Linked DNA regions of Mytilus edulis. The protein of the gene in region 1 purifies or fractionates together with the protein of each later gene. This does not show direct contact. Links are inferred from orthologs where the notes say so. Each region holds a gene or a part of one and is shown in the gene's direction. Other genes may lie near its edges.

Region 1 (17,152 bases):
TAAAAGCGCATACACTTTACGATATCATATTCCAAATATCTAAGCGACATCTTTTGAAACATCAATACTACGCAAGAAAAAAATTAGGCGGAAGAAAAAAAAAAAAAAAAAAAATAATAATAATCAGAACAAATTCAATAGGTCTTTCCACGGAAAGGTGGAAAGACCTAATAATCAGAACAAATTCAATAGGTCTTTCCACGGAAAAGTGGAAAGACCTAATAATCAGAACAAAATCAATAGGTCTTTCCACGGAAAAGTGGAAAGACCTAATAATCAGAACAAATTCAATAGGTCTTTCCACGGAAAGGTGGAAAGACCTAATTATTATATTTTCTCACTTTCAACACTCGTGTCCAGCAAATAACCTGTGCAGGGCCCCATTACCTTAACTGCTTTGCATATACGAAACTAACGAGGTTAAAGTAACAGTGTTACATCACTGTTCGGTAAATACTGCATATTAAAGGCAGTTCATTACACATTTATTGTATCAAATGATTATAAACTGTGTAGCATTGTTCAACAGTTTGTTTTAATCAAAGTGTAACAATATAATTTGTACATCCAGGTCATAGAAACAAATCTATTTTTAGAACAATTTTATTTTCATATCTCAGGTAAAGGAAAAGTCGGTACATAAATAAACTAAAACTAAATATGTTTATAAACTTTATTGAAAGAATAAACAATGAAATAAAATGCATGACACTAGACAAATAACTTTTATTGGAATAAATAATCATTCAATATGTTGTAAGTGGATTATGGACGTTCATCTTTCTTCAGGATTTCCTTTACTGATTTGCACTATCGATGTTATTTGACGCCGTATTTTGGCATTTCAGATATAAGCATACTCCGCTTTATTGCATAATTTCGTCTGACAAATAGGCTATGCAAATAACCGGAATGTACTCTATTAACATATTTATATACTCCATTCAACTCATTGTTATAATTTGACAAAATATATTGTGTAAACTGGTTACCTTTGAATACTTTTCAGTTTGACACTTCCAAGACCTTTTAAGACATCTGTCAATGTGGCCTGTTTGGGGGGATTTTCAGGAGTACTATTTCTGTTGTCTTGTAATGTCTGTAGCACTATTGTCTGAAATTAGGAAAAAAAATATGTTCATGGGACACAGATCCACTTGAAAATATATGGTAAATTCATCAATTTTTCCATTTACAAAGGGACGTAACTCAAGAATCCTAATAATGACGTCACCTAAACTTTAAATATGATGTGTGTTAGGTAGTAGTAAGCATGGTTATAAACATAAAAGTAGAGAACAGAAATCAATTTAAAGACCCTTGTATTTATGTACAGACAGACAAAAGTAAACCTTAATGTGCTCTATGTCTGCAAAGGAGAAATTAATAAACATAACTTTTTATTTCTATCTTTTCCTTTTAGGGCCCCTAAAAGGAAAATATAAATTAGGGGGGAGCTATGCTTTATAGAAATATAGATTCCTACACTGCAACAAGTGTATTACAATATTTCTCCACTCGAGACAGTTAAATTATATTATTTAAAGCGTGAGGCTTGCCAAGCTCTTTAATTAACTAAAATTTAACTGCTGAGAGTGAAGAAATATCGTAATACACGAGTTATAGTGTAGGAATCTGTTTCTCTAATGATTTTTATCCTTTTTTTTCAAAGATTTTCAGAAACTTGTGGTCTTTATATGCGACGTCATCAGGCATGGTTGCCTTTTTTCATGACGTCACAATAGGAAAATTCAGAAGAAAACAAAACATTTAGACGTCATAATCAAATTTCGACTAATCATTTGCAGAGAACAGATTTTTCACTAGTGAGGAGAAATATTTTTCTCACACCAGTCAGGAAATGTGAAAATAGCACAAAAATTAGAGAATATAATTTCTTAAACTATATCACACCTTTTCCTGATAACTGCTCAGTTTCCCTTGTTCAAAGAAAATATGTTAACAGCATGGAGCTTTTTTCCTAGACATTATAATTTTATCAGTGGTGTAGACCGTAGTATTTTACCTGTTTATCTGTTTTAGTCTGAGTAACAATTGGTGTTGACTGTTTTGTTGCTGGGAGTGGTGGTGGTGGCGGAGGGGCTATCGGGCAAAGTGGTGGCACTGGTACATAATCCTCTGTTGATAACTTTTCTTCTTGGAAAGACTGTGGAGGTACTGTAAATAATATAACATAAATAATTTTATTTCAGAATTATACATAGATAAGGCCAAAAATAAAATATTGTTTGTTTCCCCTCACCTGACCGACCCGGTAAAATCACCACGACCCGAAAAATTTTATTGGTAATTCTTGTCCACTATTTTTGTTGTTGCTATGTTGGTTATTAGTGATATCTTTCAGATGCTGTAGTCAATGAGCGTTGGGTTTTGGTGATACCTTTCCGATGCTGTAGTCAACGAGCGTTTTAAATCAAGGTATTTTTGCATTGAAGGGTCTACATGATTCGGAATCAAGGAAAACAAACAAAATGCTTTGCCACACGATTTGTTTGTGCAAGGGTGATCTTTTTTTGAAAATAAAAAAAACTGAAGCATCTTTCAACCCGCTGAGTGCATCTTGATTAGATTTGTGTCTAACCTCTGTTCCTGTTTAAAGGATAAAATCTTAAAGACTTTGAGTAAAAACGGTCTGACTCGTGCTTTAAAATCTATCTACTTTGTCTTTGAACAGGTTGGGCACAAGTCAGGAAATGTGGGATACATGTATTCCCTGCTTTCAGGGAACGTCCCTGTTTTCTGGTGTAAAAAAAACCCAGTATGAATGGGATTTCCTTTTTCAATTTATGGCATGAAAATTACAAAAGGGCACATTTTAACGTTATAACTGAATCAGTAGAATTCATAAATACTTTATTAAAAGTATTTTAGGAAATACAAAACATGAAATACTTTATTAAAAGTATTTTAGGAAATACAAAACATGAATATAAAGTGAAGCCTTGTTTCTTCTAGAACTAAAAAAAACCTACAAATCTTTGTTTAGGAATCAATTGACCAAGCTGCATGATCCAGGTGTAACTGAACATAACTGAATTATGTTCACTTCTATTGAAAATTTTTATTCATTGAATTTTAATTCCCAAGTGATTAACATACATGTATCTTTTTGTCATCTCATAATTGATGATCAAGGTATGAATTGGTGAACAAAGGATTTGTTTTGTTGTGAGTTATGCATCAAATTAGACTTGAAATAAGCTTGTTTTTTTAACTAAAAAAAACACTTGCTATCATTAAGCACTGTTATCACAAGTAGAATGTGCACTTTTGTAGATTTCATTACATTAAAAGAATAGGAAAAAAGGAGGTCCCTGTATACTGTTTTTTTAACACCAGAAAACTGGTGTACACTGAATTAGAATACAGGGAATACCCCACTTTTCTTGACTTGAGCCTTACCTGTTGAATTTTGTACAAATTCAATATAGAAAACCATATCAAGGAATAAAATAAAATAATTTGCCTACCTACCTACCCATATCCTAACAACCTCAGTCGGGAGAGGGGAAACAAAGATAATTTTAATGTTGGCCTAATCTTTTGTCTCTCTTATTATAAATAATGTGATTTAAAAAAGTAGAAAGAAACAGACACATATGCTTTGGTTTGAAGGAACAAATCACTGTGGCATCATTTATGATACATGATTAAATTAAGAAAACTGTATCCTCTACTGAGAGAAGTGGTTTTCATAAAATATTTACTCTGGGATTTATTGATCTGTTCTTGAGCTTCCACCAGCATGGCTATCTGTAGTCGTAAGTTATTGAGCTCTTCTTCCATGACTGATAACTTCTGTGTCTGTTCAGGATCTTGTCGTGTAGACACTGATGATATCATGGTAGAACTCATAGGGGATAAGCTGGGTCGAGATATAAACAAATCAGCATCTAACTCATCAAGAGCTGCATCATTTTCAAAGTGCTTCCTTTTCTGTGCTCTGGAAATAAAAGGAATATATCAATACAATGAAAGTTTAACAATTTAAATCTTAACTCACCATTTACTAATATTAAAGATCACTCAAAATCATAGAATATATTTGTCATATTAGTATATCATTTGACATTGGAAACAGTTTCATGTATCTAAAAACCAGGTCTAAAAGAAATATCTAAAAAAATCTATATTTTTCGATCTATCTTAAGATAAACATAAACATATTTAATACAAACCAACTTCGAGGTATGGGAGCTTTTCATTTAATCAAGATCCTTTCACTGTTGAGCAGGTTAACATGGCTATTCTTTTTTAATTTGTGAGGTTTACACAATGCAACCCTCTAACCTTATTGCAGGAAACCACATCATTCTATCACATCTAGTTCCACAGCATTGTATTTGATGCTGCTTTATGACCATTTTTTAAAATTTGAGCTCATATATTTAATTTTCATACAATTACAAGAGAGACAATGATAAAAGAACTCAGTATTTTTACAAAGTATAAGTAAGCTTAAAGCTGGCATATATGTGTCCCATATTTTTTTCTAATATGATAATATCAGCTGTTGATCTTTTTTTAACAACATCTACAAAATTGATGCATAACAATATCCCATGCTCATCATTTGTGTCTTTCTATGTCAAATATATCCTCCATTCAACTTAATCATATTGTAAGTAACTGTAGTTAACCGGTTACCCTTGACTTACAATAACCTACCTAATCCTGACACAGTTGTCACCTAACTCTTCCTCCACCCAGACAACATCATCATCTGTAGATGTTCCCAGACTTGTGGTTGATATAACAGAATCATCACTATCACTGTCATACATGTATTTAGGATATCTAGACTGTAACAAGTGATTCTGAAAAGAAAGTTGTATAGCCACTTTAAAAATCATAGCATTTTTACCTAGAATAGAAAATGTTGTCCTTCCAGTAGAGAGAAACAAGAAAGTTCATGATGATTTTTGCATACAACATTTAGGTTTAAAGTGGCTTATTTCCCAATTAAAAGTGACTGCATATGAGTATATAAACACACAAACAAAAAGATTCAATTTTATATAGTTGTTGTAACAGCATTGACTGAGCATATTGATGCCCTTCATATGTAAATGAGCTTCAGTCAACATTTATATCCCAATAAACTCCAAAAAGGTAATTTCAATTGTTAAAAAAGTAATTCTTTTGGCCTGTAGATATGAATTTTTCAGACCAAACAGCATTTTTACAAGCCTGGGCTGAAAGGACTGAGGTTGATCATGAGTGTGAAGACTGTAGTGTCAGGACAACCATGTTTAAAACCTATCACAGGGATCTCCATGGATGAAAATTGAACGATGGAGGAACTTTCACCATTACAAACCGTGTCTACGTTGTACAGTGTAGTGCGATCGGAAGTATTTTATTACACCATACAAGGAATGGTGTACATGCTAATTCATTGCTTATTTAAATTATATTTATTTGAATTTTCATTATAGAATTAGAAGTATCAATATTTTCATTTATTGCCGTTTTTAACCATTCAAATGCCAAGTCTTCATGGTCCCCCCTTAGTCGAGAATGACCAAAAGCTGTCATGAAGGTCCCCATGTAGATTTCTTGTATATTTGGTTATTGTTATGGGGGTTAAAAATCATATGATGTGGAGCTAATTTTTCATGGACACTGTCAAATTCAGAACCCATTACCGGTATGGCTGATTTGCAGCAACAACAAAACAATTCGTATGGGTTATGTAAAAGGTTAAAGAGATTTGTAAAGCAAACGTTGACAAATGAAAAGGTTTTTAATGACTTTATCTGGCAAATTGATGCTGTGCAACATATATCTTTCGAGTCTGAATAGAAACCGGAAACGCGGATGTATCAATTTGATTGTAATATACGAAATGAATTCGGAATTAAGATACGATATTTCTTTACAGGAAATATTTAAAGTTTTTACTTTTAAACTTTTAAAGTAATTCTAAATTATCGTTACAGCAGTACTCGAGTTATTTGCGATGAAATAATATTTACTGTTTTGCGTCTTATTTTGTACTTCTTAAAAAAGGGGGATGCTGATTGCGTAAGTCAAAACAAAGCACATGTTCGACTTGTTAAACTGTTTTCTTTGTAACTGGATTATTAATTTATTTATTTAATCTAAATTATCATAATCATTTGCTAAAACTTAGTTGATTATTTCGACAAATGAATCGTCTATCCTCAGATAGTATTCTCGTGTCTGGTTTGTTGATCTACCTGTACAAGCTCAGGTACAAGTGATTAGCGATCTTAATCCGTATATTCCTCAGGCGTTAGAACTGTATTGGATTTTAACATAAAAAGCCTAAGGGTTATGCAATTACATGCATTTGATTATACTTGATAAAAAAAAAATGGCGTCGGGCTACAAAAAAAGATGAAGTTTTGAACGATGGCGGAAGACATTTAACGATGGCGCAAGACATTTTAACGATGGCGCGAGTCATTTGACGATGGCGCATGACATTTGAACGATGGCGGGGCGCCATCGTTAAACAGGCCATGGAGATCCCTGTATCAAACATATTTTCTAAGTTATTTCTTACCTGTATTCTAACCCTTTTAACAGGTTTCATTGATACATATGATCCTATGATTCTTATCAAACTTTTGTGTCGTACATCTGATTGTATTTTATTTACTCTGTTGATTGTACGCTGACGAAAGGAAACAACATGATTCCAATTGTAGGTGATAGCTTGACGAGTTTGATAAAACCTCACTCTTCTCCTAGCATTTAATTCTTCTAATAAAGCTCTCTGTAACATAAAACATGTACCAAAAGTTGGAATATTTTAACTTTAACTTACAATTTTTGTATCATTTTTACATGTTCAAAAATAATATAGTGAAATATGGAAAACTAAGTATTACTTTTGCATGTCATGGCAGTTTATATAATTTTTCTGTAAAGATTTAACACATTTATTTGTTTTCTCACAAACATACAAGATTGTTGATACATGTACAACTACAATTCGATACAACCAATCTATTTTAGTAGTGTTTGAGTGTCTGCCTAAGTGTCAGTTTTATACAACTTTTAGAATGTTTTGCTGAGTTGACTAAAAAGGAGTCTCTCAACATTCCCCATGATCTTTCAAATTTACTTATGTTATTTGAAAATTTATTGACCATGACACCATGACATCATTGCATCATCAATGTATAGATCTCTTTAGTCAATGATTTCATGTAAACAAACACATACATGTATAACTGTATAATTAATGCATATATATATATTACAAGCACATTATTTGGTACAATATACACCTGTGCATCATTTATCAAATGAAATACATGTAATGAAATAATTACCACATCTTCTGGATCAATTCCAATGTAATCTAAAATAACTCTCACAACTACCACTAAATCATCAATGATGTCCATACTTTACACTGTAAAGATTATATTGTTTAAATCTGCATGCCTCGAATTACTGTCATACTGAAATAAAAGACAAAAAGTCAATTTCATAACAAAAGTCAGAACATAGACTCCTTTCACAAAAAAAGGATCATAAGTGATACTGAAATGTGTATGACTTGTGAGTTCTTTCACAAAAAAAGGATCATAAGCGATACTGAAATGTGTATGACTTGTGAGTACTTTTACACTTAACATTTTTTTATGAAAAGAGCCGCTGTATCATTGGTATTACAAATGTGCTATGATCAACATAAAATTTTAAATCAGTTTTTTATAAATGTTTTATAAGAATAATTTGTATGATTTGAGGATTTCAACAGTTTAAAATTAAACGTATAAAATGAGTTTATTGGACTATCTGAATTTTGATAGTTAAAATGTTTCAAATTTTCACCATCGAACCTTTGTTTTCTTTCTTGTGGAATATATTTGACTAATGTTCCCATTTTGATTCACTTTATGATTATTCAAATCTAATAAAATGAATTTTATTAGTTTTTTGTGTTTTTTTTAACAAGGAATTACTTGGGTTAAATTTTTATACTTCACAGAAAGAAAAAAAATAGCGTTTCATAACAAGATCTCATAATTACATGTATTTGGACTAATTATGAAAGACTGTCCCTGATATGGCAAAAAAATAATAATATGTGAATTTCCTAATACATCTTTGAAAGAAATAGGGTAGGTAGGTACAGATTTTTTTTGTTTTATCTTTTTTCAACATTGAGTCTATGGGAGGAATATTCAGACTTTAACAGTGCTTAAATTGAAAAATGACAATGAAAATGTTAAGGGTAGGCTATTTTATAGCTTAAAAAATAGGAAGAGTAGGATATAAATACAACTTATCACTATTTGTCCACTATTACTGCACATCAGAAAGGTTCTCGTAAATTTGACATTATATAAATCTTATGAAGCCACAATGGAAAGTGATTGTTGTATGACATCAATAGTGCAAGCATGACAGATTCTCTGGTCACCCAGGAATAGCGGCACAATAAAATACCTTATCGCTATATGTGCCATTACTGGACATCACAAAGGTTCCAATAAAATTTTCAAGTCATAATACAAAATATCTGACACCACAGGATGAAAAGATTCTCAGGACAGCTGCATGACTGCCATAAGGCTGAGTGTCAGAGCTGGGACAGAATTCAGAAATGGCGGCAAACCTCAGTAAAGGTGTATCATGTATAGTGTTCCTACTATATAAACAATTAAAGTATTGGTTGGTATACATAGAAGGACTATGGTAAACGGACAGAAAGTCACAAATAATATGTTGACAATTGTTTGAATATATAAGAGAAATATCTTGAAACATTTACTTTTTAATACATATATTCATATTAAAGTTTAGGAAATGTGTCATTATACTTGAAAAATTAAGATTTATTTAATTCAATCATGCAAAAGAAAGATTTCTTGGCACCATGAAGCCATTTAAGTGCCAAACCACTTTGACATTTTGTTTTTTTAACAATTATTTGATTTACTTTGATATTTTTTTGATAAATTTTGTTTACAAAGTTAGATTTTATACAATAGTTCAAGAGAAATACAAAAATATTTTTTTGGAAATAAGTGTTTTATATTCAAAGAAAATAGTCAGAAAAAATGAATTGTGACTTTTTGTCCTGTGACTTTCTGTCCTACATTCTACATAGAATTGGCTTATGACTTGTTATATGCATCTTTATTTCATTTATATGTTGTTTAATATTATAATTGTCTGTATAATTTTGGATCACGCCTCTATTGTGCTCTTTCCAATAAAATATTGAATTGAATTAAAAAGATGACCACAACAGTTAAAAAGAGTATGTGCCAACTGGCAGTATTGCTGAAATGACTGTGGTCGAACTGGCAGTATTACTGGAATGACTGTGGTCGAACTGGCAGTATTGCCGAAATGACTTTGGTCGAACTGGCAGTATGGACGAAATAACTGAGGACCATGGGACGAAACATCTTGCATGGAAGTCTCTGTCTATCCCATGCTAAAGGCATGGGCTAGACAGAGACTAGAAGTAGAGGAACATTTACTATATTTTGCGTGTACATCGTTTATGTAAAATGTGATGAATATTACGTACAGCAGATTAAAACCAGGGTAATTTCAGTAAAAATGTAGGTTATTGTGTCGCCGCCATTCATTCGAAATTCACTTCCTGTCAAACGTTTGTCCAATCGAAATTGATTTTACATTCATTCGCCAATCAGATTACAGCTATTAAACGTGGGAATTTCAACATTAAAAAAAGATACACAAAAAGGACAGTGCAAGAATATTTTGAAAAATGCAAGAAAATCGAAGATGTATGTGTCAATTGGTCAATTTTAAACCACATTTTTATGCATAGAATTTCACTGTGAAATTGGTCTATATTTATACACATGTGACGTGTTATATTCTGCTATGTGAAGCAATCCTGTCACAAAGTGATGTCAGCTTCATCAGCAGAAATTATCCCTCAAGTGAAGAAGGAACTAATCAATGATTACTGGGTTATCTAGAACTCTAGACACTCCCAAAAAGCTAATACGTATGTTCCTCTACACAAGAGCTTGGGGGTTCTAGCAATTGATCCTCCGTGCTTTCTCATTGAAATAAAAATAAAAACTTATTTTACAACAAGTTTCCGAACGAAGAAAGCAAAACTGCTTTGAAAAGTTTCCAATCTTTAATTAAACAGATTTTAAATTAATCCGAGCACAGGGGCTTGTTTAGTGGGTCAGACGAGGTTTTACTGTCAATGGCGATCGCTATCCTATATAAAAAACCAGGATAGTGATCGACATTGACAGTAAAACCTCGTCTGACCCACTAAACAAGCCCCTGTGGTCTGAGCGGGTCAAATCTTAATGGGTGTTCACAACATGCGTTTGTCTCATTAAACAATTACCACAACTTTATACGGCAGTTACGTTTTTATGCAAACAATGTGTAAAAATACAATACTTTATTATCAATACACAATAAATATACAACAAGTTTATTCACACAGGAATACACGAATAAATAATAACAAATAAACAATCAATGTTAATGTGTTTGAATTGCCGATAGCGCTCTATTTAACAAGGGTAACTACGATCTATAAATAGGGCAAAGTATATATTTTTTAGAACTTGATGCAGAGATCAGTAAAAAAGTGTGTAAAATGTATGCTGTTTATCTTTTATAGATACAAGTGAAATTTTAAAACTATCAATCTTCTTATTCTTCAACGTGTACATGAAACAGCTTCTCTCTTCAAAACTAGATAAACAATTGCTGAGCAGAAGTTGACATCAACAATGGGAAAAGAAAGTACAGGAAATAATATAACGTAACGTCGTGTAAATTGTACGTTCACAACATACATTTAGGTCAACAGTTATATTGGTAATATATAACACGAATACAAAATGTGTATAATGAACAATCCAGATCATAATAAACAAACAAACAATTTTAAGTGTTGTAAAACTATTGACACAAACAGTGAAATTTACAAACATCATTTTCTCCTAGAACTATCATGTCAGACTATTATTGAATTGAACCAACTAGAAGAACACACAAGTTGTTGCTAAATGCCAAGACTAGCAAGAGGCCTTTAAGATCGGCCCTCAAAATTAAGTAAGCAGCATGTGATCTCATTTCTGTTGTTTATATACCAAAGATTTTGTGAACTACAACGATTATTCAGACAGGTTGTGATATAAAGATTATCCAATAATTTTCACTGTGACTAACAGAAGTCCAGTTTAAATACCAGACAAATAGCAATAATGTGTTTTGCTTGTTAGTTTACATTTTTTTAGCTCTATATGACTAGGGACCCCATAAGTAAAAATAGGCCAGAATTTGTATTGGGTTATACTTGTTCAGATGAAAATGAGGTAATACAAGCTAGGCAACAGTAATCCTCTATATACAGCCACATTATCAAATCTTAACACAGGAATTTGTTCCTGTTAAAAATTGTATGTTTTCTTGCAATAAGAAACGTTTGAATTTAATTCTCTTTCAATAAAAGAAACTTTAATATTTTAGACAAAGTCTTCCTCTTTGTAAGTTACAACAAATTTGAAATTGATTGATGTGTATGAAATTGACAGATTTTTTTTATATTTGTAGATAAATCCTTGTCTGCAGATGCATTGACTTCCCTGAAGACTATGGCAAGTGATTCCAAAAAGAGAAGTTTCATAGTAAAGGTGAGGCTTGAATTTCATTTTTTTTCATTGCCTGTCAATGTCATTTGTGTCAAAAAATGAATATTAAAAGATAAATTTGCCTAATGCATGTAGTTTAGTTAAGACAATAAATCAATTGCTATTTCTTGTAACATAATAATATTTTGTATCCTTTATTTAATAATCATGCTTTAGGTTGTTATTTATTTTTCAGGATGGAACATTTTTAGGAGGACTTGTTGTTGTATTATCTAATCCAGATGTAAAAATTGTCACAACAGCTCTAGAGGTACATGTATATATATGTATTAACATATACATGTATCAAGTTCAATTAAAAGGAGATTTGTTTAAGATCAAGGCAACTAAGTGCAGACATCACATAGTGAAATAAGAATTTGGCTGCATATATATAGGGACAGTGGCATGCCACCCGTCTAACTACATGTTTGTAGTGATTGGCAACTGCTTTTCATGGCAATTTAAATCATACACACGGAAACATTTTGTTTAATCCACTATGGCATTCAGTGCCTCCCACTTAAAAATCCACTGTGTTAGTCCTGGTTATAAGAGTTAGATTAGATATTGTGGTTGTGGAAATGTGTAACACTTTATGATACAAATAGTTGTATTTTTTAACTACATAGTTTTTTCACTAATGAAAAGATACATTTAATGTTCTAAAAACAAGAGGAAAGAAATGAATTTGGAAAATGCTTGCTCTTGATCGTGCGTTGAATGCTTTTATCTGTTATTATAACTTATTTATTAATTTCATATACTTGGTATTAATTATTGGATACTTTTTTTCTTGTATTTTGTGGGACTAATTTTCTGTAGGATTGTATGCACACTTTGACAGAACCATGAACTTAAATATCAATGGATTTTCATTTTTTTTCTCAATTCTCCTAAATGGGTGTCTATAAAAATAACTGAATCCACAGTATTACATATAAAACATTATGATTATTCCATAACAATGATTTTCATTGTACTATCTACTTGTTATTGCAGACATTAATCCTTCTGGCTGAAGTGCCAGAATACAGACCAACACTATCTTCATTTATTGGTTTGAATGAACAAGTAGAGATCCTACTAAACAGGTTAGTTATGAAGGTTAACACGTGGATCACTGTTTACATATTACTCAGAAGAAATTATTCTGAGTATTCTTTATTTATTACAGGACACTCATATATTTTTCAATGTTTCTAGGCACATTTGAAATTTATTGTTCAGTAATGTTCAGGAGAAGGTGTCAGACTGGATCCAATTGAATTTAAAAATAGATTATGTTGATTCATGTTATTTTTGTGTCCCATTTATGGGCATTATGTTTTTTGGTCTGTGCGTCCATCCTTTTGTCCGTCTGTTTGTCCGTCCATCCTGCTTCAGGTTAAAGTTTTTGGTTGATGAAGTTGAAGTCCAATCAACTTGAAATTTAGTAAACATGTTCCCATGATCATTCTAATTTCAATGCCAAATTAGAGATTTTATCCCATTTTCGCTGTCCACTGAACATAGAAAATGATAGTGCGGATGGGGCTTCCATGTTCTTGGGACACATTCTTGTTAAGATATAAATCTCAGGTTTCAAGGAAGTTCTGTTGTTTTCAGGATTTGGGAAATTCAAGGTAATTATTATGCCTTGACTTATGATAAATCAAAGGAATTGTCCATCTATATCATTTATAGCTCTTATGTATAACTAATCCATTGAATTTCAAATTTATATGCAATCTTAAATTTTTATAATAAATGTTTGTACTTAAAACACTTTTGTTATATCCTCATCAATTATTTTGTAGAGAAGATGAAAACATTGCTAACCTGGCTGAAAAATTGTCTGATTTATTAACACAAAAACCAGAGAAACATGCACCATTAAAAGATTCATTTAATACATCAGGAACAAGGTCAAGGTAAGAATATAAGTCTTCTATCATGGACGGTTCATTATACATTATACACTACGACGGTAGTTGATATATAGCTCTAAGTCAATTTTTAAGGTTTTTTTTAAGGTGAGTTTACATGTCTATCAAACATGGTTTGACTGACCATGAACTTATTTCATGGATCTGTAATGAAGGTTAATATTTTTTGTGAGGTCCATATCTCAGATACTATTAGCAAATGGTAAACACAATTTGGTGTATGGAATGATTTTAAGGTGAAAATATCCATTTAGTGAGGTTCGACTAATACTTTCACTGACCTCATTTTTATGGTTCATTGGTCAAAGGTTATTTTTCGTTGTTAGGTCCTTTTCTCAGATACAATAAGCAAAACTAGGGGTCGAAATTAGCGCTGGTCCGGTGGTCCGAGACCAGTAGAATTTGCGTCGGACCAGTAGATTTTGTCACGTTGTGGTCCAACGGACCAGTAGAAATTTGTCGATAAAATTTTGGTTTCTTTACAAAACAATTTACCTGCAAAATCAATTACTTGGTACTGGGGGGTACTAAGTATTGCAATTGATCAATTTCATTACTATTTCGGATGAGCGTCCTTCACAACAACAAAAATGTGGAAATTTTTGGAAAAAGATAAATCGCTGGACAAAAAAATACAATAAGTGACATTTGAAGGGAAGATCTGAATTAAGTTCATGAAATTGACAAAAGGAAACGTAAATATAAAAAATCCTTGGAAAAAGATCGTGATTGGTTAAATTATATAGTTGATCACAATGTAATCAATTGCATATCATGTGAAACACTTGTAGTGACAGACTTAGATTAGAAATGTGTTTTTGTACCGAGATCTTCAAATTTTAAGTTAGATTCTGTACTTTCTAATGAACAATCAGAACAGCACTATAAAATACGAGAATAAAGATGAGGAAACAAAGAAAGGGAAAATCATGAAAATAAACGTAAACATCTCCTATTTATTAGTGTTTGTCAAATGAATTTCATTTGTGCAGGACCAGTAGATTTGGAGCCGCACCAGTAGATTTTTCAGTCCACTGGTCCGGCTGGCTAGTACACAAAAAAGCTTAAATTCGACCCCTGAGCAAAACGTCACTAAAAAATGTATATTTGGCAAATGTAATGCTTGTAAGGTTTACCTGTTTATCTTGCTAATTTCATCTGACCTTGTCCTCATTTTTATGGTTCATTATATAATAAGTCCACATATATTCTATGATATCAAAAATTATTGAACTGTCAGTCATGAACAAACCTGTAAGAACTAATATGTCAACATTAATGTATATATATATGTAGGACTCAAATCTATGGTGGGTTCCAAATCTATGGCAGATTCCTAATCTATGGCAAATGTGACGTCATGCCATCCCAAATCTATGGCAGATTTTTTATAATCCTAATCTATGGCAAGTTTTGTAATTTCCTAATCTATGGCGGATTTATGTTCACGGTTTCCAAATCTATTGCAAATGATGAGCAAATGGAAAATAATGCAGTACCTATACGACCAATGATTTGTCTAAAATAAGTGGTCATGTACGACATCGGAAGCATGCATGTCTTTAAACATTTGTGAAATAAACATTCAATAATGGTCAACCAAAAAAAACCAGACTTCAAGATTGAAATGATGTGCCCCGTAAAAATCTTTGCATGGTACCTGTTTAACCCATTCATTAAAGCAACTAGTCTAGTAAGTCCCTTAAGAAGGTATTTTTTTTTATAAAACAGAAATGACCAGTTTCAATTTTCAAGTAATATTTATTTCTTCGTTAATGCATCTTTTTTTATTATTGAATGACGATTTAAATCAAATTGATATCCGTTTTTCTATAACTCCTTTCTCTAATAACTCGATGAAAAAATCGGTCCCGTTGCTTATCGCGGGCTTTGGCCGGTACAGCACATTTCGTCCGCCTTCCGAATATTAGTAATAGGTCACATCTTCCTTGAGACTATCAAATTGTTGTCAAGGGAAATGCCTATATCTGGAATGGTGTTCAAATCTATGGGTTCCGCCAACGTTTGCGGGGGCGACGATGTAATATGGCGTTATTTAATTGTGACGCAATTCAAAGATCTGCCATAGATTTGAGGAAAACAAAAATCTACCATAGATTTGAGTTGTTTTGCATTTGTAACGTCACATTTGCCATAGATTAGGAATCTGCCATAGATTTGGAACCCGCCCTAGATTTGAGTCCTACATATATATATATATTATTTTTTTTCAGGCATGGAACAAGTAAGAACAAAAGTGTAAATGGTGGCAGAACAAAGCATATAATCTTACAGATACGAGGTCTTGTAGTCAAGGTAAATAGGGGTAAAAACTTGTTCAAGTGGTCAAGTTTAAATGGTGTTATATACCTTTATAAATTTAAGGAGTTTAGAGGTATACGTCAATGAGACAGCAACCAAATGATAATTATAACCCAAAAGGACATCTAGGTATTAGAAAAAGATTTAGGAGACAAGTTAACAGGAATGCTTGTGTTACGTAAAGTGGATTGACATATGAGAAGATTTGTACTCAAGGTTGTTTATTTATTTATTTCATTGTAATTTATAACAGTTAGACATGAGATAATGAGGAAACTTTGTCAAGGTTGCTTGTTACAATTCGGTGAATAAACAGGTCCCAATATGTTAGGGTCAATAGAAAATAATTAGCTGTAAAGCGACCTAGCTAAAAAGGGAGGCAGACAACCAAACTATCTGGTCCGTCTACATCTTTAAATGTATCACAGCAATCATTGTATATGTGATATATTGAAAATATTGGATATTGAAAAATAAAAATTAAGATGTTACCTTTTACCAAGAATTAAAGATCATTAAAAGAAGTCTCAATTTATATAATTTACAAAATATTTGTCTTTCAGAATGACAAAGATGTCGTGATGAGATTGTTATTGCATGTAAAAGGAGTTGTTAGTATAACCTTTGACCTCAATCAGAAGAGATGTATTATGAGAACAAAACAAGATGTCAAACCAGAGGTAAGAGTTTAAATGAAGTACAAACTGACATCCAAATATCATCATTTAGAAATCATATTTCTTTACCTTAAAAAAGAAGTTATTGAGAAGTATTTTTGGTCAACTATTATTATTTTGCATACTGCTGCATAAATATTTCAGGAGATTAAGAGGTTCTTCAGAAGTCATAATTAAATTAATTTGTATTCTTACGTTAGTTTTCTTTTCTTTGGTGTTCAATTGAAAGACACACTTATGTCCACTGATAGTAATGCAATATGCAGACAAGATGTAGCTTTTACTTACAATTTTATTCATTAAAAGGACATGTATTGAGAATATATAAGCTGCATTTTGAGAATGATGACTGAGTATGATGGATCAAAATGACATTAAAACTATTATACATTTTAAAATTTCTGCAAGAAGTTGAAATGATTAAGACATTTCTATTTTGTTTTTATACATCCCCCTTTTACACAAAGCATAACAAGGGAAGGTAGTATAGTATGAGATAAAATGGTAATTATTTCTGTTTTTAGACTTTAGCCCAAGCAGTAGCAAAGTCACAAACTATGACAGCTCAACA
Region 2 (16,745 bases), on another chromosome or scaffold:
CATTGCCCTCAGTCCTAGATGATATCAAAATTCAAAATAAAATGGTGTTATTAATACTTTAGCTTTAACACTTTTAAAACTACATAAGTGAGCAACAAATTATTTTAAATATTTATATAGTATACAGTGAAGATTTTATTTATGATTTTAAAGATTTGAATGTCTCTTTAATAAATGTCCATGTTCCTTTCCATTCTATACTCTCACTATCCCTCTCTGCAATATAACTGTCCATTTCTGATGATATATCTGGAGACATCACATGACTGTTGGGTGGAACGTATTCCTCATACCTTTCGGAAACCCTCTGAATTTCTCTTTTAACATTGTAAGGTATTTTCTGTTTTTGTAAAAGGTTAACAGGCACTATCATATTGAACTTCATTATTTTTTCATTTAGTTCTAAAATTGAATTTTCAAACACTTTTACGTGATGCCTCCACTTCTTGTCTAGTGAAGAAGATGATGTAAGACTATTCATATTCTTTTTTTCAATCGCCAATCTCCGTCTTATACTTGTAATGTCCTCCCTATAAATGATAAATAGATATAATTTTTTCTCATCATCAAACATTAGTTTATACCTATAAATTTCTGGGATGAGAACTATATGAGAAGAAGATAATACAAAATATAATGCTGCTAAAATTTGCCTAAATTACACAATTTGAAAATCTACCAACAAATTAACAGTTGTGCAGACAATTGTGGTGCACATTTTCAGTGTACATACAAACATTTTACAAAAGCTGGAGAGCTCTAGGTTGAATACTTATATACAGGATTTATAAGGTAAATGACTACTCTCTTTTCACCTCCTTACATTTTCCATGCCCCAGTCTATCCATATGACAACCAGCCTAACTTTCCCTTTATAAAACTTGGAAAGAACTTTATCTTATATTATCTTATTTATGCATTTTCAAGGCCTTTTTGTTTTATTGATCATAAAGTAATGGTCTTTCACAATCCAACAATATTAACCAAATAACTGATAAACTCTTTAAATGCCTTTTTGGTTAAGTTTAATAGTTTAAATATATATATATAGTGGCTTTTTATTGCATTTATCTAAATGTCTCCTATGATAGAACAAAGATACAGTACACGGCTCGCGCTAGAGCTATAAAATTGCTTTTTTGTCTGCCACTTCACTTTGCCTGACCGTCAACACCCATTTCAAGTCGCCCTGTTGTTCACAATACTAGCTTTCAGTAGCGTTCTTTGTTCTCAAATTAACCAAGTCGATGAAACAGCCATTTTTAATTTAAAAGCAAAGACATTCAGAGACGTAAACAGTTTACTTTCTTCAGTAAAGAGTTTAAAGCATTGACAGTTGGTTGCATATTATTTCATATCATAGAGACAATTTTTTATCACTTTGTTTTACCTTATTTCTTTTTCTAATGTTATCCATTGTGGTGCATATCCATTGTTGATCAGTATCTTATTTATATTATGAGTTGTGGTGTCGACCAAGGGATTTCTCTCAGTATAGTCCAGTGGCTTCCCTTTACCTGGCAGATTGTCAAACTCTCCTTTACTCATCGACTCTTGTATCAAGTCTTGTACTATTCTCTCTATAGTGTTACTTAAAAAAATATAAGCAGTTGAAAATAAACTTTAATTTAAATTTAAATGAAATGAGTGACTGGTGAAAAATAATGTTTATCCAATTCTTGAACCTATGCATGTATATATCATAAACTTAAGTCTTCTGTGCACAATTTTATCATTTTTTACGCAAAGATATTGTTTAATCGTCAATTTTTTCTCTCTGTCTGTTATGATTAAACAAATATGGTAGCTCATTAATTGCCGTGTTTAGAAGCCGAAGTTTACCAATTGTCACCTTATAGTAATCAATCAACAAAAAATCATGGATATTGAGCACAATAATTGTATAACATATACAATCAGATATTATTATAGTTTATTTTAATGTCAGATCCATGCATATTATTGCGATCACCAGATTTTTACAAGAAGAGTCATGCTAAGGTCACTGCATATACCGAAAATATGCCGGCGAATTGCTTTCTGGAAGCAAGCAATTAAAATAAAGTAAACTTCTTCCAAATGTGGACAAATTAAAGAATTTTCTTCAGAAAAAAGTAAATGTACATAAGTTTTATAATGAAAACTATCCATTTAGTTATAAAAATCATATGCATCATTTTTTTTTAATTTGAGGTTTCATATGACTTTAACTGTATCCAAATATAATATGTTTGTTTTGTTCAACTTGGGAAGCTAAAGTTTAGTCCACAACCAGTAGCTACATTGTAAGAAAAACTTACTTAATATTCAAATATTCTTGCAAATAAATTTTCACACATAAACTTTTCACACATAAAATTTTCTCCATTGATGTTGATCCAAAACTGAACACTCTGAATGTTGAGTTGATTCTAGAAATATGCTCAACAGACTTAAACTAACTACTGTTTGCTTAAATTCTTGTTTATTTTAGTACAACTTGGGATGCTAATGTAAATGTATGTGTTGGGAAAGGACACACTCTCTGTATTAGAATAACTGTAATATTTAGAATCATTCGGAATCTGAAGTGTAAATGAAGTAAATAATTTTTGTAAATATTTTGCACAAAAAGGTTTCCTCTGACATCATTTTGATTCTAAGACTATAAATAACTTGAACATATATGTAAATCATTTATAAACAATAAAAAATTAAAAATGTCAAAATTCAAAAAAAGTATAGAATTAGATATGAATAAAGTTGATTGTATTTAAGCTTTATGAACAAATCTCTAGGGTAACTCTATTAGGATATTTATTCTATAATGCCATTTATCTATAACATCTTTTTAATGATTTAAAAAAGAATGGCAGCCATGTAGTTTAGAGGAATAATAAACAACTGAAGAAGGCCAATGGCCGAAACGTCTTGAACAATTGGTTTATTTATACAATTATAAAAGATATGTTCCCTATTGGAATTTTGAAAACAAGGTATTCTATAATGTATGACTATAAAGTTTAAAAACAAAGGATTTAAAAACAGAAAATAAAATAAAAAATTTAAGCACAGTACATTTTTCACAGATTGCTTAAAGTTATTATGTTTTCAAAAAAAAGCATTAATTATTCTATAATATAGCCTTAATCTATAAAATTCAGATATTTTTCAATAAACAGAACCCATAGAGGGGATTTTTACTATAAAACTAAACAGGTTTAACCCTAAGCTTTGAATAGGCCATTATCATACTGGTTATGTATAATATTGCTAGTTACTTTTACTGCTGACCTTATTTTACTTTTCTTGGCTTGCTTCTTATTAACTGCTAATGCTGATGTTTCTGTTTGCAAGACATTTTTACTCATTCTGAACTCTGTCACAACTTCTGAAGCTCTTTGTACTTTATATTTGTCATATTGGGTCTGTCTCTGGGTAGGGTTACCAAATCCTATACCCTGGAATAAATATATGAATTATAATGTCAATACTTGTACTTTATGTTTTTTATATTGGATCTGTCTTTGGCTAGGGTTACTAAATCCTATACCCTGCAATAAATATACAAATTAAAATGTCAATACTTATATTTCGATATGGTTTTAATATTGGTTTTACTATACATCCATAAATAAGTATATATACCACGCTATTTACGAGTTAACATATTTAAACAACAAATCTGCAGTTTGTTTAAATATGTTAATGAGTAAGGCGTGGTGTATATGTTTTGTAACATCATTTAAAAGTGGCCTGGTGATTTTTTATTTAATAAAAAAACAGTGGGAGTGTCATTTTAGCCCGCTGCTTAGCTCGCGCACTAGAAAATCGATCCAGTGGGGAATATGACACATCAGACATGACAAAAAGTTATTTTTCTAAATTGAGCAACTCTGGCTACTCTAAATCAGGCACATACCATTTGATTTTTTTGGGGCCTGGGAATATTTAGAACAAAATATTCCGGCTCTTTTTTGTCATAAATTATGTTAACTCGTAATGTTTAAAAAAAAAAAAAGATTTTCCCCAACAAAACTGTATTGCAACAAAATCTTATTGCATTTATGAAATGCATTGGCAAAAATATTCCGGCTCAGGTATAAACATATCATTGACATATAATAAGTGGTTCCATGTACACTAAACTAGCTACACCTAAACTACAAATATGCAAACAAGAATGTGTCCATAGTACACAGATGCCCCACTCGCACTATCATTTTCTATGTTCAGTGGACCATGAAATTGGGGTCAAAACTCTAATTTAGCATTAAAATTAGAAAGATCATATCATAGTGAAAATGTGAACTAAGTTTCAAGTTCATTGGACTTTAATTTCATCAAAAACTACCTTGACCAAAATTTTTAACCTTGAGCGGGACAGAGGATGGATGGACAGACAGACTGACGGACTAATGAACAGACGAACAGATGCATAGACCAGAAAACATCATGCCCCTCTATTATCGTAGGTACATGTGTAGGTGGGGCATAAGAAAAATCAAAATGTCACTGAACCATCACTGAGAACGGGACCATGAAATCTTGCAAATGAGATGTGTTTATGCTTATACAATGTATAAAAGCATACAGTTACCAAAAAATAATTACCTACCATTTAATACTAATAGAGGTTTTAAACTCAGACCTAATCATATTTTTTTTACATGTAAATTATGCAAAATTGTCATGACTGAGGAGCCAAGTCGAATACATTGTAATCTCCATGGAAATTGAATGTATCAATCTCAGTGTGTGTGTGTGTACATACCTCATTACCAAGGTATTGTCTATGCTGAGGTAGTGTGTGTGGAAAGTCAAATATACCCTCTTCCTGCTCTTCAACCATGTCAACTGGCATCTGTAGATCAGCTCTCATATTTGCCTGCAGAAAAAAAATAGTTATTTATTAACTTACAATGATCAGAAAATGTGTTGCCACTATGCCACACTTAAAATATATGAAATTTACTGTGTCAAATATTGGATGGTGCTTTTACATTTTATAGCTACAAATGTAGTCTATTATTATTTCTCAATTAAAAAAAAATCAATTTTAACATTTAATTTTCTTCCTTTCTTATGATTTCTTTATGCCATATAGTAATGTAACCAAAGACACAAATATTTTTTAGGTTTACAATTGAAAAAAGTTTGCAAACATATAACCTATGCTCTAAAAATGCATTAGAGAAACAGATTCCATTACTGCCCATTGATCTTGTTTAATATATCATCATGCATTTCACACACATTGAATTCTGGATATTTTTTTATAGGATCTCAATCTCAATTGATGAAACCACTGATCATACCCTTATGGCTTTATAAGCATCCTGAATCTGTGAGAACTTGCGAGGACATGCTGTTGATGTCCCACTGTCTGGATGATACTGTTTAGCCAGTCGTAGATAGGCCTCTCGTAACTCCTCCTCCGTACAGTCAGGTGACAGGTTAAATAATGAATAACAGTCTTTGACATTGTTTTTTAGCTTATAACCAATCTGACAATTAATACTACTGGTGGAAATGAAGTGTTGTCCACAGACAAATACCTTTCTTTTCAAGCATAAAACTGAAGAAAAATTCTGATGCAATTTGTTTTTTCCTCTCAAATTTGCTTCTTTCTGTCCTGAACCTGACATGGAGAAGTAGGATAAAATGACATGTGATCCTCTGCTATTAACCCTAGATACATTTATCATTTTGTTTAAGGTAAATTTATCACAACAACTTAAAGACCTTGCTACCAGAGCAGTTGAAATAAGCCTGTTACAACAAAATGTAAATGTAGACATCACATTGACTGAAGTCCGTCTTTTACTACAGCGACAAGATCGTTGATATGTGCTGATGTTTGAGCGGGATAATGTATTTTTCTGTGGTAATAAATGAACATGTTGATGTAATATGTGTATCCTGTTTTGTAACATTTCCTAGGTGACTGTATCAGTGAATATCATGACTGTTCTCCTCAAAACAACAAGACCTGTGATGATGACTGTTGTTCTCAAATCATCTTTAGTGTTTACTTCTCTGTTTCTGTAAAATAATCATGATAATTATCATATTGTTTATTTTATTTACCCAGAAATAACCTAGAACAAATATGGTTAACATGGTTAAGTGTCTGTTTTTCTTTTAACATATTTTATTCAAATTCAGTATAATTTTATTCTTTTAATGTGCATTTACGTTTAATTCTTTTTTTCTATAACTATTGAATGCATTTAATACAAAATATTATTTATTATTTGCATTCTATAACCAATATTTTTTGTGTATCTTTCACGTTTCATTCCCGATCATGTGACAGTTTCTTATAAAATCAGTTGCGTGTATGAATAGCCTCCGAAAGCCAAATTGGATACGCATCCACTCATGTGGGTACATGCATCCACTGTCTTAAGTAAACTGTTGAGCTAGCCGGGTATAATTTCATGAGACAAATTATTAGTCCAAATAATTATGACATCTTCAAATGGTTTTTTTTTTTTTTTTAGCTTTGATCAGGTCTTACTGTATTGACTGTAGTACCAATAATTATGACATCTTGCAAGGCTAATGGCAATTTTTTTCTGAAAAACGATTCACAATAAAATGTTTGTAAAATGTTGCATGTGGCCAGTTTAAGATACCTAAACACACAAATTTCTATAGCAAGGATTTTGTGGAAGCAAGTTAACTCGTACCAACGGAAACTCGTACCATGTTAACTCGTACCAAAAAAGTTAACTCGTACCAACTTAAAGTCGTACCACTGGGAAGTCGTACCATTAAAAAAAATGTTTTGTGGTGTTTTTTCTTTCTAAAATTAATTAAAAAAAGTTGAATTACTGTAATTTTATACTGGATTTTAATGAAAACTTGGACAAAAATACGTTTTTTTTTTATTAAGATACTAATATAAATGGTCTTAATTACCTTATTACCCTGCTAATTAATATACGATATTCATTTGATGTAATAAATATGAAAAATATTGAATACGTAGATTCAGTAAAATTGATAATGAGAAACAAGAACATGATTGCAAATACATATAAAGATATTCTTATTCCAACTAAAGGGGCCATGAAGAGCAAAGTAATTTTTTACAATGATTTTATAATTGTTACAATAATGTTGACATATATATTATCAACGTCTTCAATAAACAATATCTATACTATATTGATAGTTTTCTTAGTTCTCAATATATATTATTTATTGATATATCATTATTCATAACATCTCATTTTATTTCAGACAGCCTACTACCAGAAGGACACTGTGTACAAGTTTGTCAAGAATCTCATGGCCCTATCATTTCTACCGGCAGAACACATCCCTACTACCTTTGAGGACATTGCCACCAAAGCAAAATCTGCCAGAACAAAAGAGCTTGACGCCTACGTAAAGAACACTTGGCTGTCATCAACCGTCTGGCTCGTACCATCATGGAGTATCTACATGAGATCTCGTGCAAAATATTATATATAAAAAAATTCATACTTTTAACATGTTGGTCATAAACAATTTACAACCTTTAAAACACACTAAATTAATTCTTTCAGTGAATAAAATTCCTTCGAGAAACAAAAGAAAAGTAGACAAATCTATTCAATGTAACTGATTTGGAATGATTAAAAATTAAATCCAATGGTTATCAGTATAAGTTTAAAAAAGAATGATTCAAGGGAGACAACAAATCAAATCTGCCAAGGTATTGTCTATATCTAATACACATGGAACATTAGCTACAGACTAGTCATTTTACTTTCAAATTATAAACATTTTACAGACTTAAGAGGTTTTGAGAAAAATAACAGTATACATCGGTCTCACTAATTAGCGACAACAAGAATTTTAGCGACAACAAGCGTCAACAAGCGACAAGAAGCGACAACAAGAATTATTTAAGCGACAAACAGCGACAAGAAACTATTTAGCTGTTATTTAGCGACAAGAAAACATTTTTTTTAATTAAAATTAATTATTGCAATAAATATTAAAAGAATATGCAAAAGAAAATAATTTTAGCGACAAGAAAGTTAAAATTGATAGAAAAAAATGAAACATTATTTACATAATATTTTATCATCTATTATGAATAACAGCCAGTATTACGTTTAATTATTGTATTATGAGATTACTTTTCCTTGTGTTTTAGAACATATTATTTATCTTATAATTTGTATTTTAAAACTCTTTTCGTGCAATATGTATTAAGCTCGCAAAATGAATTACTTGTGCATCATTGTCCTGAAAATATTGACACAAATTGTGAAATACAAAGAACTGAAACCAAACAGGAGGAAAAGAAAATTGAAATGTGAATGTTTTCATCTTTTTATTTGTTTATTGCCTCATTAAACGATATTTATCATGTTTATGCATATTGATTGAAGATGAAAGGAAATTAATGACAATCTTGAGTTTTCAACAGGTGTTCACTATTTACAATGATTGTATAGTCTGGCGCGTGTAATTGTATAGTCTGACGTGTGTACAAAGTTGAAGGTGTTAATTGGATGTTATTGTAGCAATAAAACAGGGGACACGCCACTCGTTAATCTCATTTGATGTTCCACATTGTGTGTACTGTTATTACCTTAAGGTGAAGCCACATCTAATGTTGTTCCTATCAAGAACAATGAATTATACTGTTAGAAAGGAAATAATATTTCATGTTTTTGTTTCAATAAATCCTTCAAAGGAAAGTTGACCTTTTTTTTGGGGGGTTTTTTCCGCAAAAGTACGTGATCTGTATATGGACCCCAAGGTAGAACCACGTCCTCGTCGTGGGCTCTGAAAACACGCTTAAATAATAAAGATGGCAAAGCGTGGCTGAGAGTTTTACAAATAAAGCATCGAATTGACATAACAAGAGTACACTTAGAGCATAGTATTAAGCAAATGAATCAAAATATTATATTCCATTATGCCCGCTCCATATGTATCTCCATTCGTTTATTCATACTTTGACTTTGATGAAAACAGATTCATACATTATCTTATACATATTCTTCATATTTAAAAATTAAAAAAAAGAAGCTCAATCTCTTTCTTTTTCACAAATGTTAAATTTCTTCATCTACCAATATACTAATATAAACTTCACAATCTCTTTCTTTCTCACAAATGTTTCATTTCTTCGTCTATCTGTAACAATGGAGACATTGAAGATGAACTTCACTTTCTTTTAAAATGTTCCTCCTATAAATATGTGAGAGATAACCTTATTAAAAAATTAAATAATGTTCTATTGAACAACAAATTTTCTTCCTTATCATATAACTTGCTTATATCAATTCTAAATAGTAATTCCCAAACAATATTAAAAATTGTTGTCAACTATTTGAATGAATGCTTGTTGCATGGATTAAAAGGTACTTGATTTTTGTAATCATGTATATGCTTCTCATTTATTTTTTATATATTTCTCTCATAATTATCCACTGTCACTCCTTCATTGTATATATGTTATTGTAGTTAGTCTTTAATTTGTTGCCATAACCATTTATTGTCAATGTGTTAGTGCTAATAAAGTTATCTTATCTTATCTATATAATAAAACATTTTAATTAGACATATCTGCTCGTATATTTAAAAAAAAAACATTACATACAAATTTCTTTATATCTAATAAAAAAAAAATGTTTTCTTGTCGCTAAATAGTTTTCTTGTCGCTTGTTGTCGCTAAAATAAATTTTGTTGTCGCTTCTTGTCGCTTGTTGACGCTTGTTGTCGCTTGTTGACGCTTGTTGTCGCTAATTAGTGAGACCCGCTTACATTCATAATTAAACACCAATCAAATGCATTTAAATAAGTTGGTACGAGTTAGCAGTGGTACGAGTTTACATTGGAACGAGTTATATTTTAGTGGTACGAGTTAACGTTGGTACGAGTTTACATTGGTACGGGTTAACTATAATTCGATTTTTGTTTATCCTTGTGCATATAACAGCTGTTTTCTAATCCTGCTTTTTTAGTTTTTGCTTAATAAAATCATAAATTATTTAGACATAAATAAATATACATCAGCAATATATCATATATCAACTACGTCACATTAATCAGCCTAATCTTCTTTGTTTTTCTTGAAATGTGTATGCTCGATGCTCCTCAGCATAGCCGTAAACTTTACCATTACATAAAAACAACATGACCCCAATCATGACCTATACATACTGGTATTGTAGGACGTAAACCAGTTTGACTATCGGCCTGGTATCAAACAGCATATTTATGCCTTTGCTCTCTATTGTATTTTTGTAGGGTACCAGATTGAAGAATGGCAGCGTTCATGGAAGAAGATGGTCTTGCATCTGAAGATTTATATGCTGTTTTAAACGTCGAGCGAAAGGTATTAATATAGCAATTTTATCATTTAAGAACTGTTTATGACAAATTATTTTGATTTCAAATTTAAAGCCACATATTTGACTAAACTGACCCTTTTGACATTGAATTACATCATGCACATTTTTCATTTATTTTTGTATGTAATTTCTGCATCTGGATAAGTCTGTCAAGTTTTAATGTCAAGAAATACGTATAAACTCATAAAACTTGCAACTATACATGGGATTAATAAAACGGCTTTCTATTCACCTTATTGCTTTTCCCAGCTGACATGAGAATCTGTCCGGCTTGAACTTTAGTCTATACACCTTATCGCTATCCCGTCTGACCCGGCCGCTTGAACTTTTGACGTCTTACAACAATCACTTTTCAACTGTGGCGTCAGATATTTTGTTATACGACGGTAAACAAAAATAATATGGCAGAGAATACGTTTCAACCAGGAACAGGTGTAGCTCCTGCTACCTTAGTCGAGTTGTCGATTTCTTGTCGGTATCAGTCATAAATGAGAGTCAACATCTTCCTAGGTTTATAGCTTTAATAATAAGGATGACTGATACCTGAAATGAATGTATACAGTATATTAGTAAATGATTAGTTAGGAACCAGTATGATATCCAGTAATTGCAGACAAATATAGATAAGGTGTACAACAATCACTTTTCCATTGTGGCGTCAGATATCTTGTATTATCACGTCAAAACTTTACGGGAACCTGTGTGATTTCTAGGATAAGAGACAAATAGAGATAAGGTGTATTCTAATGTCTGCATACACCTTATTGCTGTTTGGAAATCTGACTATCTGTCCAAGTTGAACTCTAAATATGTTCGGCTTGAGCTACATGTATTGACGTCATACAAAATCAATTTTCCATTGTGACGTCAGATATTTTAGTTTTGCAAGTTTTATGACTCTGAACTTTCTGTGTAAGACACAGATGTGAAGCCCACCCCTCCAGAAAACCGAGTTTCAGCCGATTTCAATTTTCCAAGACCGTATTTGTGCTCAAAATGCAACTTATACATCATTTGTACATGAGAAACATGAATATGGATAGCCTCAGGTTGACAGAACATGCATAGATTTTAACATAAGTATCAGGCCACCCTTAAAAAATTGTTTGTTTGGCATTGCCGACCCACATGTACACTATCAGCAGGTGGGTAGGTAGGTAGGGATTTTTTTTTTTTTTACATTTAAAAGCTTTATACATGTAAATCATGAAGTCTCTAGACCAATGTTGTCTAAAGCATTGCAGCATTGTTGTGTGTACATGCTGGTGGTTTCTTTGAACGGGGTCAACCGTCAATGTCACATTCTACATCATATGGATAATTTCATGTAAGACAGTCAGTTTTGTTGGCAGAGTTAACCAAAGGACCCAGAAAAAAACACAGAACTGAGGCAGGAAACTGACAAATTAACCATATAAAATGTACAATGTATGACGTGAAAATTGAACTTTTATTGTGGGACTGCCAATTGAACAGAGGCCTGATGTCACATCTTGTGGTCACAGTTTGGTAAAATTACCATAAGTTAAATGGCTCAACCACTACGGCTCCTTGTACAAATGGACAAAGATTTAAAACTTTTATTGTTTGCTTTGGTTTTATAAACATCACTTTCTACACCGTATGTAATTTCATGGCAGTCAGTTTTGTTGGCATACTATTAAACCGTAGTACTTGAAGGAAAACGGCGGCAACCTGCGGGAAGAAACTGACTAACCTTATCACATATGACATGAAAATCAAACCTTAATTTTGCAACTGCCCAACTAGGGCTCAAACCAATACCTAGAGGCTAGTAATCATACATGAAAGGTGTGACGAACTACCATACAAACACGCCTACTGCCCCTGATAAGTTTTGAGGATATAGGATCTGTACCAAATAAGGATAGCAAAATATTAAAAATTTGGAAGGTTGGCACAAATAGACATGGTGTTTATACTAATATTATCCATTAGTGCAAGGTTTTTCAGGGCTATAGGTTTAAAATGTATGATAAATTCAAAATGGAAATATGCAGCAGGACAGACAATTTTTGCAGATAAATAAATTATGGGTTGTAATGCTTGTTTGATTAACAGAAATCTGGACATGCATTACATGAATACAGATAAATTAATGAGCCCTTAGAATTGTGGAAAAGGAAGGGATTTTATTCATCACTAGTACACTAGATACATTTATAAATATGTTTCTGTCAGTATCTTTTATGTTTTAAGAATTATTTTATTCATGTTAAGAAGAAAGGCAAGAAAAGGGGGAAGTACTTCAATTGACACAAGATGCTAGTCTTTAAAATATGTATGTTTTGTACCAGGCTAGCATCTACTGGTACAAAACTACTATAAACCTGTAAATCTGGGACCGTTTTGGTCTATGGGCTTTAGTGCTTACAGCCATAATTATCTTGAATGCATCATTGTGGTTCTGACTATAGTAGATACTTTGTTCTCTGGTTCAAGGGAAAATTTGTCAATGATACATTTCAAATATTTAATAAGTTCAACAAATGTAAGAGCCACGCATATTTGTTCTGTGATGTCCCGGAGAAAAACTTCTATCTCATGAAGCGACAAAGTCGAGCAGAAATCATCTGTTTCTGCTTTTAGCCTTTACAAAAGATAAAACTTGAGTCCTCTACAAAGTCTCTCAGAACGTTTCTTTCAAAGAATAGCTGAACATTTGATTTTTGATAAAATCCATCTCCCTTAACCAATGCATTGATGCTTTCCCCTGCCGGCCTCTTTGACATTACTTTTGGCAAACTTTTTCTATTCCATGTCATTTAAATGTTTGCTCCCAATAAGGCAAGCGCTTTTAAGATCGTGATTTGAAAAAAGTAAAGCCAGGAACAAACTCGGCGGATACAATCAAATTCCGGCACAATTTCGATTTTTTTTTAAATAAAAAAAAATAAATTTCTGAAACGCAAATAAAATTATTTGGGCGGCAAGTTTTTCAGTGGGTCGGGCGGCAATGCCAAACAAATGAAATTTTATTTTAGGCCTCATAAAGTGGACTTCTAAAAGAATGGAACGCCATTGGAGCCAAATAACGTTGTTTTGGGTATGCCTGCCATATGACAGTCACGGCATGGTAAGGGTTAAGTTAACCATGTTAACCAGAAGTTTGTTTATATTTCAGGCTAGCACAGATGAAATCAATACAGCGTTTCGTAGATACAGTAAAATCTTCCACCCAGACAAACATTTAGATGATAAAAAAAAGAAGCATGCAGAAAACATGTTCAATAAAATCAAGAAAGCTCATGAAGGTAAACGATAAAATAAAGATGAATTTTCAAAAGCTCATTTATATATGCATCATGTACATGTAGCATTGTATGGAGATGAGTGACTCAAAGCAGGAAAAATACATTCAAAATTGGGTATTACCTAAAGAGACAAATTAAGAATTTTACAAACAATTTCACTGTACTTTACACCCTCCCATAATTGGAGTTTCCAAGTTCACTCCCTGGGTTCCATGACGTATATTTAATATTTTTTGGTATTCAGACCATATATCTCAACATGTCATGTATGTGCTCTAAGGTTAATTTCTCAAACATGTCTTAATTATTTCACTTATATTCAAATGGAAATCTCTTTTATTTGCATGTAGATGACATGACAACTTGCATTGATGAGAATATATGCACTGTATACCTAATTATTATTATGAGATGTAACAGATTTATAAGTGACAAAGATTGCTTGGGCATTTGTTAGGTAATAGCGTCAATGTCATGTAAATTGTCATAAAATTGCTCTTACCATATTGGAATCTCTGAACAGCAAACAGAATTAAATCTGAATCAACAAAAACAAACTAGACATGCTAGATAAGTTGTAGAATGTCTAAAATTAAAATAAACTAGTATGTGCCTGTAAATGAAGAAAAAAGTTGGGAGTTAAGAAAACTATTTTAATTATTAGAAGTTTTGGAACTAGTTGATGAGAACATTATTATATTATATTTTAGTTTTAACTGACCCAAACAAAAGACCAGTGTATGACCAATTTGGAATGAAAGGTTTAGAAATAGAAGGCATGGAGGTATGTATGTTTGTATCAAGGGTCCGGAAACGGTCATATTTGACAGTCTTGACCTTTACTGAAAGTGTTTGTCCTAAACGTGGAATTGGGATTTAGGACATATTTTATTTTTTAACAGAAATAATTTCGGTCATTTCGTTGTGATCGAGTTTCTAAATCGCCATTTTGAACTTTAGTTTTGTTATCCCTTTCCTGTAATAAAACTGCCACTCAAGTATAGAGTGATAATCATGAGGGCCCTCCTAATAACTATATTGATGCCTTTGGGAAGTATTGGCTAATGATCTCTAATCTCTTTACCTGTGTTTTTAATTCACACTTGCCGCTTGGCTATTGCGGGGGCTATTGATCACAAGCTCAGAACTTTTAATTATAAAGAAATTAAAATTCCATAACAACTGTCTTCATTATTTAATTACTTTTCAGCTAAGACAATTGTCAATTCTGATTTAAAATTAAATTAAAACTTGATTTTATATAAGTAGAAAAGTATTTTGTCGCTATAACTAACACAAGTGCTTTGTTTACTATGTAATACGCATACATGTCAAAATCCTCTTCCGCCGATTAGACACTATATCGTAAATTCAAAATTATTTCATGCTAAATAAAGCAAGTGCAACTATTATCATTCAAATTCAAACACTATCAAAGTTAAAAATTAAAATTGACTTCCTGTGAATTTGATAAACAAGACTAAACCCGGAATTGCTCGTTTCAGAATTTTGCAAAACATCCGGTTTGCAATTTTGTCTTCAGTAACGTAAGCTTTATGCGATGCAAGCAACAGTAACACAAGTTCGTTGAGGCTACGAGTATGAACATACTCAGTAATGTAATTTTGACAATATTTTTTTGAAAAAGGGCACCAACTTTTAAGTTATCTCAAAATGACCGAAATTAGGTGAAAAAATTTCCGGATCCTTGGTTTGTATATTAGATGACCTTTACGGCTTATTCAATTTCCAAGGATGTCATAACAGTCATGCTATTTCATTTGCAACAATTAATTTATAAACAAATGCGAAAACAGATGTTTTATATGATTTTGATTGAAAAGATAGCAGCTAGCAAGCACTCTTTCCATCAGCATTCTGCCCTATTAACAAGGGGAGGTAAATTGGAATTATGAGAAGGAAAAATTTCTAAAAACTATTCATATCAACACTTAGAAAAGTCCTCATTTTCTTTGTTCACAAAATTAAGCAAAGTATTTGAAGTCATATATATGTACATCAAAATATTTACAAGTCCACTCTATTACTGCATATAAAAGCAACACTTCTAATAGATGATTTTCATATAAACGACTTGACTCTAGAGTATACATTTTTTTGACAGTATTGCAACCAAATAATAATAGATTTTAAATATTTGACTTGTTTTCAGTTAATATCAAAATCAAAGTCAGCAGCTGAAATAATTGCAGAGTTAGCAAAACAAGAGGAGGAAAGAAAGTTACAACAGATGACTAATCCAAGGGTAAGATTAACAAAGCAATGACCTTTGACATTATCATGATTAGCTTGATTAATATATATTTACACAGAAATATAAGGTGATCAGTGAAAGTCATGCTTTTTGATATAGATGAAATTTTGACATATATGGATGAACTTTTTAATAGTATTGTTGGTTTTTTGGGGTTTTTTTTATTAGCTGTCTCATTATTGTTTTGTTTCAAATGTCAACGTCACAAATTATAAGTTATGATAAGTTCATTATATAATATATACATATTGGGGACAGGTAGTGGTAGGTCAATAAGATTAATACAGTTGTAAAGCATTGACACATCTTATTTCCATAGAAATCATTTGGTTCCTCCAACCCCCTCAGTCATGGCATAGCTTGAATACATACATGTATAAGTTTGTGGTAAGGTCAGTTTAAGGGGAACCATTAGTGGAAGCCCATAATATTTGGTATGTAATTGTTTTGAAATTTGTACTTCTAATTTCCATGAAGATAATTTGGCTCCTACACCTCAGTCATGGTATATTGACTTTTTTAATGTTTTGCATAGTTCACATGCTTAAGTTTGTAATAAGATCAGTTTAAAATGAAAAACTAATATTAGTTTTAAGATAATTTGTATGCAATTGTATAACCATTTGAAAGTCTCATGGAGTTTATATTGCCCACCCCTCATCATAATTATTTTGTAAAACTGTTTTATCATTTGTAAGATCCAGCCATCTAAATAATTTGTTTTTATTTTTGTTTTTTGCAGGGTCAAGTAGTAATAGAACTCAATGCCTCTGATTTATTTTATAATGAAGAATATAAAGAATACAGGTAAACCACAATTATTGAGTACAATGCAAATTTTCAAAAAAT

What was found.
Region 2: the proteins of armadillo repeat-containing protein 1-like (region 1) and dnaJ homolog subfamily C member 11-like purify together in Homo sapiens (affinity purification with mass spectrometry; 4 studies listed by BioGRID and IntAct, counting the BioPlex papers as one, with this or other methods). This does not show direct contact. The link is inferred for Mytilus edulis from reciprocal best matches to the Homo sapiens genes ARMC1 and DNAJC11.

The regions. Positions count from the first base shown.
Region 1 is NC_092344.1:110,182,150-110,199,301, reverse strand, and holds the start of armadillo repeat-containing protein 1-like, read left to right. Parts: upstream 1-9,635; 5' UTR 9,636-9,751; coding exon 9,752-9,770; intron 9,771-11,577; coding exon 11,578-11,657; intron 11,658-11,850; coding exon 11,851-11,925; intron 11,926-12,656; coding exon 12,657-12,748; intron 12,749-13,453; coding exon 13,454-13,567; intron 13,568-15,816; coding exon 15,817-15,898; intron 15,899-16,467; coding exon 16,468-16,584; intron 16,585-17,105; coding exon 17,106-17,152. Other genes in the region: mitochondrial fission regulator 2-like, read right to left, coding at 993-1,114, 2,027-2,178, 3,729-3,964, 4,690-4,838, 6,554-6,766, 7,329-7,403.
Region 2 is NC_092356.1:64,895,959-64,912,703, forward strand, and holds the start of dnaJ homolog subfamily C member 11-like, read left to right. Parts: upstream 1-10,215; 5' UTR 10,216-10,258; coding exon 10,259-10,330; intron 10,331-13,491; coding exon 13,492-13,621; intron 13,622-14,331; coding exon 14,332-14,405; intron 14,406-15,794; coding exon 15,795-15,887; intron 15,888-16,638; coding exon 16,639-16,703; intron 16,704-16,745. Other genes in the region: dnaJ homolog subfamily C member 28-like, read right to left, coding at 140-530, 1,391-1,591, 3,274-3,440, 4,754-4,867, 5,298-5,915.